3 linked regions of the Coturnix japonica genome follow. The protein of the gene in region 1 interacts with the protein of each later gene in a pairwise test. Links are inferred from orthologs where the notes say so. Each region holds a gene or a part of one and is shown on either strand. Other genes may lie near its edges. The genes, in order: SUPT20H, MAPK14 and ATXN1.

The links.
Region 2: the proteins of SUPT20H (region 1) and MAPK14 interact in binary tests that used the Homo sapiens proteins (3 or more experiments, as listed by UniProt). The link is inferred for Coturnix japonica from reciprocal best matches to the Homo sapiens genes SUPT20H and MAPK14.
Region 3: the proteins of SUPT20H (region 1) and ATXN1 interact in binary tests that used the Homo sapiens proteins (3 or more experiments, as listed by UniProt). The link is inferred for Coturnix japonica from reciprocal best matches to the Homo sapiens genes SUPT20H and ATXN1.

Annotation. Positions count from the first base shown.
Region 1 is NC_029516.1:154,070,797-154,074,321, forward strand, and holds part of SUPT20H (transcription factor SPT20 homolog), read left to right. Parts: intron 1-115; coding exon 116-187; intron 188-1,031; coding exon 1,032-1,189; intron 1,190-2,785; coding exon 2,786-2,818; intron 2,819-3,525. UniProt on the Homo sapiens protein: Required for MAP kinase p38 (MAPK11, MAPK12, MAPK13 and/or MAPK14) activation during gastrulation.
Region 2 is NC_029541.1:520,331-524,596, reverse strand, and holds the start of MAPK14 (mitogen-activated protein kinase 14), read right to left. Parts: upstream 2,813-4,266; 5' UTR 2,684-2,812; coding exon 2,568-2,683; intron 1-2,567. UniProt on the Homo sapiens protein: Serine/threonine kinase which acts as an essential component of the MAP kinase signal transduction pathway.
Region 3 is NC_029517.1:67,238,636-67,242,948, reverse strand, and holds the start of ATXN1 (ataxin-1), read right to left. Parts: upstream 2,809-4,313; 5' UTR 2,469-2,808; intron 1,939-2,468; exon of another isoform or gene 1,695-1,938; intron 1,664-1,694; exon of another isoform or gene 1,192-1,663; intron 1-1,191. UniProt on the Homo sapiens protein: Chromatin-binding factor that repress Notch signaling in the absence of Notch intracellular domain by acting as a CBF1 corepressor. Binds to the HEY promoter and might assist, along with NCOR2, RBPJ-mediated repression. Binds RNA in vitro.

The sequences.
Region 1 (3,525 bases):
TGTTATCCACTCCAAAAGAGGAAACTATGCTAGGCTGACATTAACTCAGGCCCAGTATGATCATTGGTTTGGGGTTATTTTTGTTTCTGGGCTTTTTTTCTATCTCCATTTTAAGGTGGAAAAATATGCCAAAGTGGAAAGTTCTATCAAGCCTGATGACTCGCAACCAACTGTTTGGCCAGCACACGTGAGTAATTTAGGTCTTTGGCCAAGCTCTTCTGTTCCTATTTAATATGTCCCTTATTTCAATAAAGTCTAATGATTACTAACCAATGTAATTAACCTAACGTGCTACACATTTGGAAACATTATTACAGAAACTTGTAGTTTTATACACAACCTCATACATATGATTAGTGTTGTAATTTCCTCAGGTTTACCAGAAACACAATGGAAAGCAATTTTAACCTCCAAAGGTTAAAGGTGCTGTCACTGTATAGTAAACAAACATAAGAATTTACAGGGAGCAGTACTCCAGTCACCAAATCACTTTCTTCATGCAGATGCTGTTTCAAAAGAGATTATGTAATATTAAATACCTCTTACAAAAAGCCCTTTCTGTTATGTTGAAGTTAAGCCTTAAAATTTGGTGCAAATTGCATGATTTGATAAAGAAAGTTCATTTTAACATAATTACTAGCAAATCAGTTCATTAATTCTTTCTAATTAACAGCATCTATCAAATGCCTTTTCAGTCTCATGGCAGGAAACAGTAAAACTTCCTTATAGAGCTTCACTTTCATCTCTGCCATTTTATTTAGAATTCTTGTTTTTGCACTGCTGCTGTTTTTATAATACATTGTACATACATATACCCAGTCATCTGTACAACATCTGACATCATTGCTTTAATGTTATGATATTTATTATTTTCCTCTTTTTCCTCCTAAATTTTGTTTTAGCACAAACATCCCTTCTCATAATTTGTTTATCTTTTGTATTGCATAGGACTGGCTTATTTTACTGGCTCTCTTTTGCTACTGTTTTTGTAATATTTATTTGATCTTTTTTTTTTCTTTCCTGTCTTCTAGGAAGTAAAAGATGATTATGTGTTTGAATGTGAAGTTGGTAATCAGCTGCAAAAAACAAAGCTGACCATTTTTCAGTCTCTTGGCAATCCGTTGTACTACGGTAAAATCCAGACACTCAAAGGTGATGATGAGAGTGACAGCTTATTAGTTCCACCACAGTAAGTTGTGTTCTTTTAATCTGTGCTATGATCCAGCAAATGAGAGGCAACAAACACTACTTAACGTTTTCTGGCATGAGAGCATTTAGGATCTAAAAATCTGATTCAAGAGTTTTTTTTGTTTTGAATATTTCAGTTAATAAACCTCATTTAAAAAAATATGAGGAGGAAAAAAAAGCTTCTATTAACATCATATGTTAAATGTTCTTTTTTAGTAAGTCTGAATGTTCTTGTGTGTTAAAGGTATGTTTTAAGAAAAATCCCCTGTTGAGAAAATCCTTCTTCTCATGCTGCCAGACGTGGTTAGCGTGTATTTCACAATGGCTATCACAGTTTTGATCATTGTGATGAAATCTGCCAGATGCTGTGAAAACATAAGACTTGGTGATAGGATGAGGTGAAATGGCTTTAAGTTGTGCCAGGGTAACTTAAGGTTGGATATCAGGAAAAACTTCTTTACAGAAAGGCTTGTTAAGGTTGGAACTGGCTCCCCAGGGAGGTGGTTGAGTCACCATCCCTGTTTTTGGATGTGGTGATCAGGGACATGATTTAGTGTAGAGTTGTTAGGGTAGTATGGTTAGATTGTGGTTGGACTTGATGATCTTTAAGGTCTTTTCCAACCTGAGCAAGTCTATGATTCTGTGATTACATTTACCTAATTAAGGCTAAACAAATGAAGGCAGTAAACATGAGCTCCCAAAGTTTAGTCCTCTTTGTAATACTGGTTTGAACCTGCTATTGTTGGCTTCAGTTCTTAAAAAGGCTCTCAATTCTTAGTTCTTCTTGTTGTATGTGACACGACTTTGCATGGAGAAACCTGTGCAGCAGAGTAGGCAGGGAGCAGTTAGTCTGTGTAAACTTCAGGTTAATTTAAAAAGAAGGATTTTTATCGTTGTCAGGTATATAATTCCTATATACAGCTCTTTTTGTTAAAATCTAAGGTTCTTCTCTTTCTGTACTTAATACTGATCTACTTAGAACAACAGATCTAGTTTGCAATTGTATAATAACAGTAGGAGTGAGGAGGAGGAGTTGTTTTTTTTCTTAAATTGAAACAGTAACAGAGCTGAAAGGTAGTTTGCAAACCAGAAGCATTAAACTAAAGAAAAAAGCTTGATTTTGGAAAATGGTGGGAAACTGAAATTTGGACATGTGAAATCAAATAATGGAAACCAAAGGTTGAATTCCTACAGATAGGTCTGGTTTTGACATACAGACAAAAGTGCTATATGGGTATTTCTGTATTTCCAGGTTGGTATGTTCATTTATTGTTTTCACAGAAGCAATGCTGTAGTAGTTACTCGCTTCCATTTCTTTTAAAGAAAAAAAGTTCTATATTCTACCTTTTACTTTGTGAGTAATTTGAAGGCATCTGTATTAGACAGCATATGAGTGTTGTACCCATGGTTACAAAGCTAAGTTTTTATGCCAAGTACCAAATAATACCCAGTCCATCAAATAAGTAAAGTATCTCTTGTGTCTGAGAGTCTAAAAAGAGAATAGCATCGATATTCTTTCAGGGTTCATAATTATAAAAATCATACTCTTTTCATGCAGTTCAGCACTTAAAATGTTTCTTACCTTTTTACATTTCAGATTCCTGATTGGTTCCAAGACTGATGCTGAAAGGTAAATTGCACGTACAACAGATATTGTGTATACAACCAGCTGACTTGATGCCAAATAATTCATTTCGTTCTTTCTTGCCATTATGACTGTTTATGTTGTATTTCTGGAAACGTGCAGAACAGATAAACAAAATAAGAATTAATTACTATGAGAATTAGTAGGAGATAGCCTGCAGTTCCCACATTTAATGAGCAAGGAAATAGAGAGGAAAACAAGTGTGCAATATGGCTTGTCCCAATACCTAAAGATTCAATCATGTTGTTCGTTGTTTGCATGGTTATTCTCAATCACTCAAGTAATGATAAAATTCCGAGAGCTCTAACAAAAATTTCCATGTCAGACACTGTTCTGTCAGACTTGCCCTTCTGCCATCTGTCACACAGCAAGGAAATACAGTGGAATATCAATGAGAAGGTTTAGCCTCTACTGCAATACCACCAACATCTGCCTCTGATGTCATGGGCCAACAATAGAAGTATTACTTTCAGAGCAGCCCTTGTAAAACATATATGATAGCTAACGTACAAATGTAACAAAACTTATTTTAATCTTCAATATTTTGTATAAAAACATTACAAAAAGAGCAACAAAACCAAAACTAGTGGGATATTTGTGAAAGTAATGCATCAGTCTGGTCCAGTGTAAGCAGTTGCCATTCTTAGTGAGCTCTTAGGGTGTTCATCAGAGACCTTTGAAGTTTTCCTCTT
Region 2 (4,266 bases), on another chromosome or scaffold:
ACCAAATTTGCCTTCACATTTTATAAGCTAATTGCAACAAGCATCAGAGCACCCATTTGCTTACAAAGGGTGAACTAATGCTGCCTGCAGACACCAGCAGCTGCCAACCCCCTGCTGAACCACAACTCACTGCTCACCCATCCCAGGCAGCCCAGCAGCTCCCACTGCAAGATGCTGCACCAACCCCTCTCTCACACACAGTATGCAGGACTGACATTTCAGTAACCCGCATGTTTTAGTGCAGACCTTGTTACTGATTTAGACAGAATTCTTGTAATGCAGAAGACTTAGATGAATACGCAAAACTCCGGCAAGAAGGCATTATCACTTCACACAACAGATGTCACTGCAATTGTTAACATGGCTTAGTGATGAATGATCTGAGAGTCCATATAGACATTTCTCGGCATTTTAGCACCAAAGCCCTACTTTAATTTCCACATATTTTCAGTTAAAAAAAAACAAAACAAAAAAACTGAAAAATACCTGAGCTGGCTGTTTGAACATCCTCACCGTGCACCAGAAGACACAAGAACACTTACTCCAACACTAAGGACACGCTCTGGCTGCCTGCATAGAACAACATTCTCCATCCACTGACTGCAAAAACTTCAGTCAGGACTTTCTACCACGGTGCTCCAAGTTGAGATGGACATTTAAAGCAGACTGCAGCAGACACTGCACAGTCTAATTGATTCATTTGCAGGCTTAATTCTTTTGTTAATTTTTCCTCCACTTTCTAGAAAGTCCCCCTTTTTATATCTCTCATCTGGACACCTAAATAAAGTGTATCATTATGTTCTAATCTAACAGTGCTGTAGACATACAGGAGTGTATTTATGCACTCTGTTTAAGGCTGATTAAAGCCCTGCAGTTCGCTGTCCCAAAACAGAGGGCACTTCAAACTCCAAGTCTGAAACAAAGACAGGAACATCTTCCCAGAGCAGGAGAAGGAAGAGGGAAGAATCTCTCTAAAGGAAAAGAGTGGAACAAGCCATGCTAGGAATGCCCTCAATGCCACACATCACTGTCTGGAGCTTTACATTACGAAGTTAATTATACATGCACACTATTACTTGTCTGTCTGAGCAGTACTTCTTCAGAAAGATGTTTTTGGTAGGACACAAAGAAAACCCTGAAAAAAGCTATGCTAAGATGCACATGCCGTACATCTGAAATTGCTTCCAAAGCAGAGCTGATCCATCCAGGCCGAACACAGTTGCACAATCTTTGAAAGTTCGGAGGCAGCATTACAGGAAATTCATGATGCAAAGTCTTCAGTAATTGGTTGTGAAAACAAACATTGGAAGCATTAAGTACACAACAGACCATGGGTAGGTGGAGAACAGAAGAGGAACGGGCTGCATGCACTGCATAAGGCCGGCCTGAATACAGCAGATATGGAGTAAATCCACTTCCTATTGCACCGAGGGAGTTATGTAACCACAGCAGCTAAAGGGGCATTTATCAGCTGGGGCACTGAGCCCTTTCTTTCACCAGAACTAAACCCTTTAATTATTAAAAAACTGACTAAATCAGAAGATATACTGGCTACCCGTGGTACTGTAACTGGTTAGGCTCTGTCTTCTATGACATACAAGCATTTACATACTTGGGACACGGCAGTTTTAAGAAACGTGTTATTTCAGCAGAGGTTCCTGACAGCAGAACAGGAGAGAACTTGACTTCTTTAAAACTGCAGCACACACAAAGCAACTCCTTTTTCTGATAGAGGTCAGCATGCATTGCTCCTTAAAATATAAATGACAGTCATGGTATAAACTTGTACATTATGTTAACGAAAAAAATAGGCACGCCTGCTCCGAGACAGAAGCAGAACAGATGTACAGTTGTTACACACCCGTATGAGAACTCGGATCACACTGACAGAGCAAAAAACATCGTTTAGCAGCCTATGCTGCTATATAAACCTCTAAGCGACTGCTCAAGTCGGAACGTCAATCCAGACACAACCTCATCTTTACGATTAAGCGATGTCATCAGCCCCACTGATTTACATTTCACGATCCAATACATTTTTGCAGAGAAATCCCAAGCGGTGCACGCGATGCAACGAGGCAAGCATTAAAAACCGAGCACAGCTCCGAGCTCTCCTTATTCCCGCACGCTGACCCCAGGCTTTGCTCCTGCAGGCAGCGCACGCCGCGCTCACCGCACACAGCCGCTAAAATGGCTCTTGCAGCCCCTGCCAGGCGTCGGGGACGCAGCAGCTCCCTGCAGCCCCCGGCTCATAATCCATCCTCCGGGTCGAGAAGGAAACTGAGCCAGCAGAGCTCTGCGGAGCTCGGGGCCTTGCCAGCCCGCATCCTCTCCACCCCCACCTCCCAACTGCGAGAAGGCACCGCGAAATATGCCCAAATGAGATCACGCCGGGGGCTGGGACGCGATTATCTTCCCCTGCAAAAATGTCCCGGTGCCACCTGCCCTATGCTGCAATGCTCGGGGCTGCCGGCTGCGGCGGAGGGAGAACGGCGCGGAGCGGCGCCCGGGGCCGAGCGGTGCCCGGGGAAGAACCCGGCCCGGAGTCACCCCCAGCCGCCACTCACCAGACGGAGCCGTAGGCCCCGGACCCGACCGGGGAGAGGTTTTGGTAGCGCTCGGGCACCTCCCACACCGTCTTGTTGAGCTCCTGGCGGTAAAACTTGGGCCGCTCCTGAGACATCTCGGCTGCGGAGCCCACCCCGCCCGGCCCGGCGGGAGGGGGCGGCGGTGCCCGCGGCTGCGGCAGCACCTCCAGCTGCAGCAGCAGAGCTCCCTCCCTCCTTCCCTCCCTCCCTCCTTCCTTCCTTCCTCCTCCCCTCCCTTCTTCCTTCCTCCCTTCTCCCCGCCTCGCTCCTCCCACGCCGCCCCTTCACACCGCCCTCTCCTCACACCGACCGTTGGCCGCCGCCCCGCGCCCCCCCGCCTCACGTTGCCCGGGCCCAGCCCTCGCGCGGGGCGGTTGCTCCTTCCCCGGTCCCCTCCTCTCAGCCGCCGCCTCCCCCTCCCCGCACACACAGCTCTCCCTTTCTCTCTCCCTCCGCACGGCGAGGGGTGGGTTGCCCTGTCAGGTGAGGGAGGGATCGGCCGATAGGGAAGGCCGGGGGGAGGCACTCGGCCGCAGGTAGGACGGCAAAGACGAGGCCCCGGCCCCGTCCCGCCCCCAGCGGAGCAGCTCGGGCTGGGCCGACCCGGCCGCTCCGCCTCCCCGCTCCCCACTGCGGCCCTAGGGTTCAGTCCAGACGTTCTCGCGAGAGTTGAGGCGCCGTGGGCAGAGATGCCCCAATATGGAGGCAATGCGGAGCGGCGCGGAGGGGCTCTCGCGAGAACGGGCCGAGGCGAGAGGCGGGCTCGCTGCGTTCAAGTGTTCCACGAGTGCGGTGTGTGAGGGGGTTGTGCTCACGCAGGGAGATGTCACGGCGCCACAGTCCGTGTGCCGTTTTCGCGAGGCTTTGTCTTGTCACCTTGACGCTGTACTTTAAGCAAAATATGCACATTGATGAGAACGATGACCTAAGGCAGCAGGCCTGGGCTGAACTGCCACAGCCCTCAGTAAGGCCAAGCCCCGTTCCCTCTGGGGGTCTCACAGAGCTTGGGGAGCTGAGCTGGTACAGCTGGAACTCAAGTTTCTTTTTAACTTTTTTTGTTGTGTTACCTTCACTTGAAAAAAGGTGATTTTGCTCAAACAGCAGCTTGTACTGGGTGTGCAGAGCTCATGAACAAAACGTCTCTTAAACTCTGGAAGGCCTTTGTGTATCTCCTTTTTAAAAAGAGGAACAAACCATTCACTAGGAATCGAACGTGCCTGCGGGCTGCCTGCTGCTGTTAGAATGACTGGGCTGTGTGTGCTGGTGGCTGTGCCTGGAGGCTGCCAGGCTCCTCTATTAGAAGTGGTGTATCTCAGTGATGTGAAACGCCAGACTTGTACAAAGGGATCCCAACCATTCAGGAAACATATTTATTTATTTCCCTCCAGGTTTTGTTACTTATACTGCGTTTTGATGACTTTCTGCTCACTTACTGCCTTTTCATGCTTCTCATTTTCCTTTTTTTCCCTCTGTCAATAGCTAAAAACTGCCTTTCTGCATGGCATGGCCTTTTTCCTATGCTGTCTCTGTACTTTCAGTTGGTAACTCTGGATTTGAGTTTTCTTTCTACCTCAGCTGTCAGTATGAGAACTTTGGATTAGATCTGCTCTTTCACTGGACTTCTTACTCAATATTCACTTTGGGAACTTACATCTTACCTAATCTGAGCAGTAGTGAC
Region 3 (4,313 bases), on another chromosome or scaffold:
CCCTTCATTTTGCTCTGAGACCAATACTTTCGCATCCTAATGTTTCAATCAGTTGCTTTTCAGGTGAGCGCATCTAACGTCTATTTTCTTAATTAAGATGAAACTAGGCCACTGGATCTATTACATAAAAATGTTCGTTAAGTGCAATTCCAGGCCTCTTGTAAATGTCTCTTACAATAAAAGACCGGTTCCTTCAGCCTCTCCGAGTAAATCACAGCAGGGCAGGGAGAAGAGATGCGGTGAGAAGTTGCCGGCACCGTGCACTGCCCAGGGGCTGCCGGGGAGCTCCGGTGCTCCTGATCTAGTAAATGTGTATGTTTGGTGGCCCTGCCAGGCAGGGGGTTGGAACTACATGATCCTTGAGGTCCCTTCCAACCCGGGTCATTCTGTGATGCTGTGATTGTGTGTGTGCTTCACGGTGCCGGCAGCTTCTCACCGCCGAGATGCGAAGTGCTCCGGGCTGCGCTCCGTAGCAGCGTGGACGCACGTGGCTAACGCGGCACCTCCAGGGGGCAAAAAAAATCCCACGTTGCTTTTTGCCGTGGTAAGATATTGGGAAAACGATGGCTGCAGGCAGCGGATCAGCGCCTGAGCTCTGCTACTCTGCTCTGCGCCTGGCCGGAGTCCAACGAGCGGAGCTACCCCAGATATACACACGGTGTGCGCGGCTCTCAAGCAGCCCCTGGAGCCGCTCCAGGCCCGCGGCATTACGACTCAGCGCCACATTCGGTGCCTGCACGAAGCGACGCCTGCGCCCGTGTGCGGGCAACGAGGGGAAGGGCCGGCATGAGCTGCTCCGGGAGGGCAGGAGCCGCACTGCCCGCTCCAACACGGCAACACGCCGTACGGGGCGGAAAGTTTCGCTCTCTGCTGTATGTTAACGAGCACAAACGCAAAGTGGTATCAATCGGAATATCAGCAACGAGCCGCGTGGCGATGTTTATACGATATGCCCCCTCGGGTTTGTTCACCGAGGGCAAAGGAAGCCGGCTGCCCCTCAGCGCACAGCTCCTTGCTCACGTTCCCAGCGGTACCAACAATTCCCGGCCCTACGGAGCCGGGCTGGGTGCGAGGAGCAGCGGCAAAGTTTCCGTGCTCCCGCAGCGCCCTGACGGAGCCGCTGTGCGGTGCCTCCCCCCGTCCCTGTCCCCGCACCCCGCACGGAGGCGGCGGGGCTCACGGCGCGCACACCTGAGCGGCCGGGGCTGTCTGTTGCCATAGCAGCGCTCTCTCATCGTTCGGCGGAGCGGGGCCGGGCGGTCTCCGAAGGGCTGCGTGAAGGGCCCGGGCCCGCACCGCCGCGGAAGGGCTCGAAACCGAAATTAAAAGCCCTCATTGCGCCGCCGCACGCACGGACGGACGGACAAACAGCCCGCGGCGCCCGGCACCGAGCGGGATGTCCCCCCACACGGCTCGGCCCGGCGCTGCGCTCCGTGCGGTCAGCGGCGCCCAACCAGCCGCCGCTCCCCGCATTATATAACGGCTTCCGACTTGTTTGCTCCTCCGTCAGTGCCGCTCGGTAATTCCTCCTCTGCGCTCCCCGCTCCGTCGCGTTCTTATCGCTATTACAGCGGGCGCTGACGTTTCGCAGCGCGTTTAATTGAGACTTCGATACCCCCAGGAATCGCGCTCGCGGATCGCGGCGTCCGCGTCCCTACCGGGGTGGGGGTGGGGTAATAGCGAACGACACCGACCCGACCCCGAGCTCCGGCCGGGGTTAAAGTGGCGCTGCCCCGCGGCCCTCCCGCCCGCGCTCCCCCGGCGGCGGTACCGGGCGTTGTCCGCAGGCGGCCTGGGCCCCGACAGCAGCGGCGCGGGGCGGCCGCCGGCCACATCCCCGTCCCAGCGCCGCCTCCTCCGCCGCCCGCTCGCTTCATTCACCCTCAGCGGCCGCCCAGCCCCTACTACATGCGCCGTGCGGCCCGGCCGCGGCCCCCCCCCTCCTCTCTCCCACACACACACACACACACACACACACACGGAGGGGCCGTGTCACCACCCCGTCACGCACCGCACCGCCACACACACACACACACACACACACACATCTACACATACACACCCGGCTACAAACACACACCCCGAGGCCGCCGCTCGCAAAATGTCCACCCTGCCGGCGGGGTGAGGGAGAAGGAAGGAGGAGGAGGAGGAGCGGGAGGGCCGTGCGAGCCCCGGCCCCGGGCCCAGGCCGCTGCCCTCGGCCATGTCGCGGCCCCCGCCCGGGCCGGGCCCTGAGGCCGGGCCGCAGCGCTGCCCCCCCGCACACACATATACACACACACACACACATATACACACACACACATACACACATATACACGCACAGAGCCGCCCCCAGCCCCGTGTTTTTCCAGCCGGGAACCGCGGGCGGCTCCGCAGCCCAAACAAGGGGAGAAGCCGGGGGAGGAGGAGGAGGAGCGGGGGGGGTGGAGGGGCAGAAAGCAGAGGAGGAAGAAAAAGGCACTTACTGTAAAGTGTCAGTGGAGGTGGGGCTGGCGGGGGGGGTCGGACTGAGACTCGAGCACCGCCGTCCTCCCGGGGTGGGGGTCTGCGGGTGTGTATGTGTGTGTGTGTGTGTATATGTGTGCGTGTGTATGTGTGTGTAAGTGAGGGCTCCTTCCCCCGCGGGGACACGCTCCGGGCTGCTCCGGCGCTGTAGTAGAAATGATGTCTGCAGTACAGCGCTCGCTGCCGCTCCGCTCTCCAGTATGTAAATGTGTAATAGAAGCCAAATATGGAGCAGTTGGCTGCCTCTGCAACAGCTCAAGGATCCTACTTCACGCGAAAGGGGGGGGCGGGGGGGAGGAGGAGGAGGAGGAGGAGGCAAGGCAGCACTCTGGCGGGCGGCCAAGAGAGCCACACAGATTATTGCATACGCTCAGCACCGCCGGGGCCGCCGGCCTTAACCCTTTGGAGGCCGCCCGGGGCCGAGCCGCCCTCCTCCTCCTCCCCCCTTTTTACCCCCCCAGCCCGGCCGTTCCTCGCCCCGACGCCCGCTGTGCTGAGGGACGCACCGGCGGGCACCGGGAGGGACGCGCTGCCCAGCGGGGGGAGCAGAGCGGGGCCAGGATGCGGGAGCGGCGGCCTCGGCCGGGCTGTCGCTAAGGGAGGAAATAAACCCGAGCCAGGGACGGCTCGGAGGCAGCGCCGTGAGAGTCAGGGGAGGGTGATTTTATTTAAGATGCCATATTGCGTTTTGCCGTTCAAAGCGTCGTAGCGCAGGAGCCCGCATCCCACTCCCGTTTTCTGAATTAGTTTTATTTTTCCGGATCCTTGGCGTATGCTCGAGTTGCTTTGTAGAGAGTACCTTCCACTTCATTCAGACCAAAGAGGCTCTGACTCATTCCGTCGCCGCACTACGAGGCGGGCAGGGCTGCACCACGCATGTTTGGGTACTCGCTCCCGCTGCGCTCCTCGTACGCGCTCCGGCACAATCCTCGCTCGTCTCTCCCGGCTGCGCGCAGACCACTGCCCGCCTCTCCCCGAATAAATGAATGGGAGGAACACAGGCACGGGACGGCGTCTGCTCTGCTTGCTGGCAACCCGACTGCCGCGCAGGGAACCGCTCGCTCTGCTTTGGCATCAGGAAGGCACGCACGGCGCCGGGAAAGCCTCTCCCCATCCCAAAGTCACCACACGAAATGCTGCATAAACCCCCAAGGCTGGGTCTCAGCTCCAGAAGGGCTCCGAGAGCAGCACGTGCGCTCCCTGTGCCGTGGCTGCCCAGAGCGGGCTGTTGTTTGAGCCTCTTCCAATCCCCCCCCCCCAGCACAGCTGTGAGCTCCGAGCAGATGTCTGTAGTGCCGATGTGTCACGTGTGTGTCCACAGGTAGTACCGCTGTGTTTCAGCATTGGATCTAGCGTTAGTCTGGATGCAAAAGACCCTAGGGCTCTGTCAGTATGCAGATCAGCAAAGCAGTCCCTTCTATGAATGACTGTACTCGTCCTCTATATTTCCTAGAGAATGTGCTAACAACATGGTAATCTGCACAGCTCATGACTGAGAGTTGGTACTGTCTTATAGACCGGCTTTATGAGCACAAGCATATTTTAACAGTGCAACTTCTACCTCTCCAGATCAGGTTTGCTACATAACCCAAAGTGAATGCCTGTTTCAGAGCACTCTGGGGACAGCAGCAGGCCCGGATGTCTGGATGCCCGTGCCACTCAGCAACGAGATGGTGCATCCACAGCCATGTGGCAGACAGCAAAAATATCCTCACCCAGCTAATGCAAGGTTCATTGATTTAACAAAAGGAACCGTGGCAGAGAGGCAGAGGCTGGAGACAGCTGGAAATGACGAGCAGGCCCCA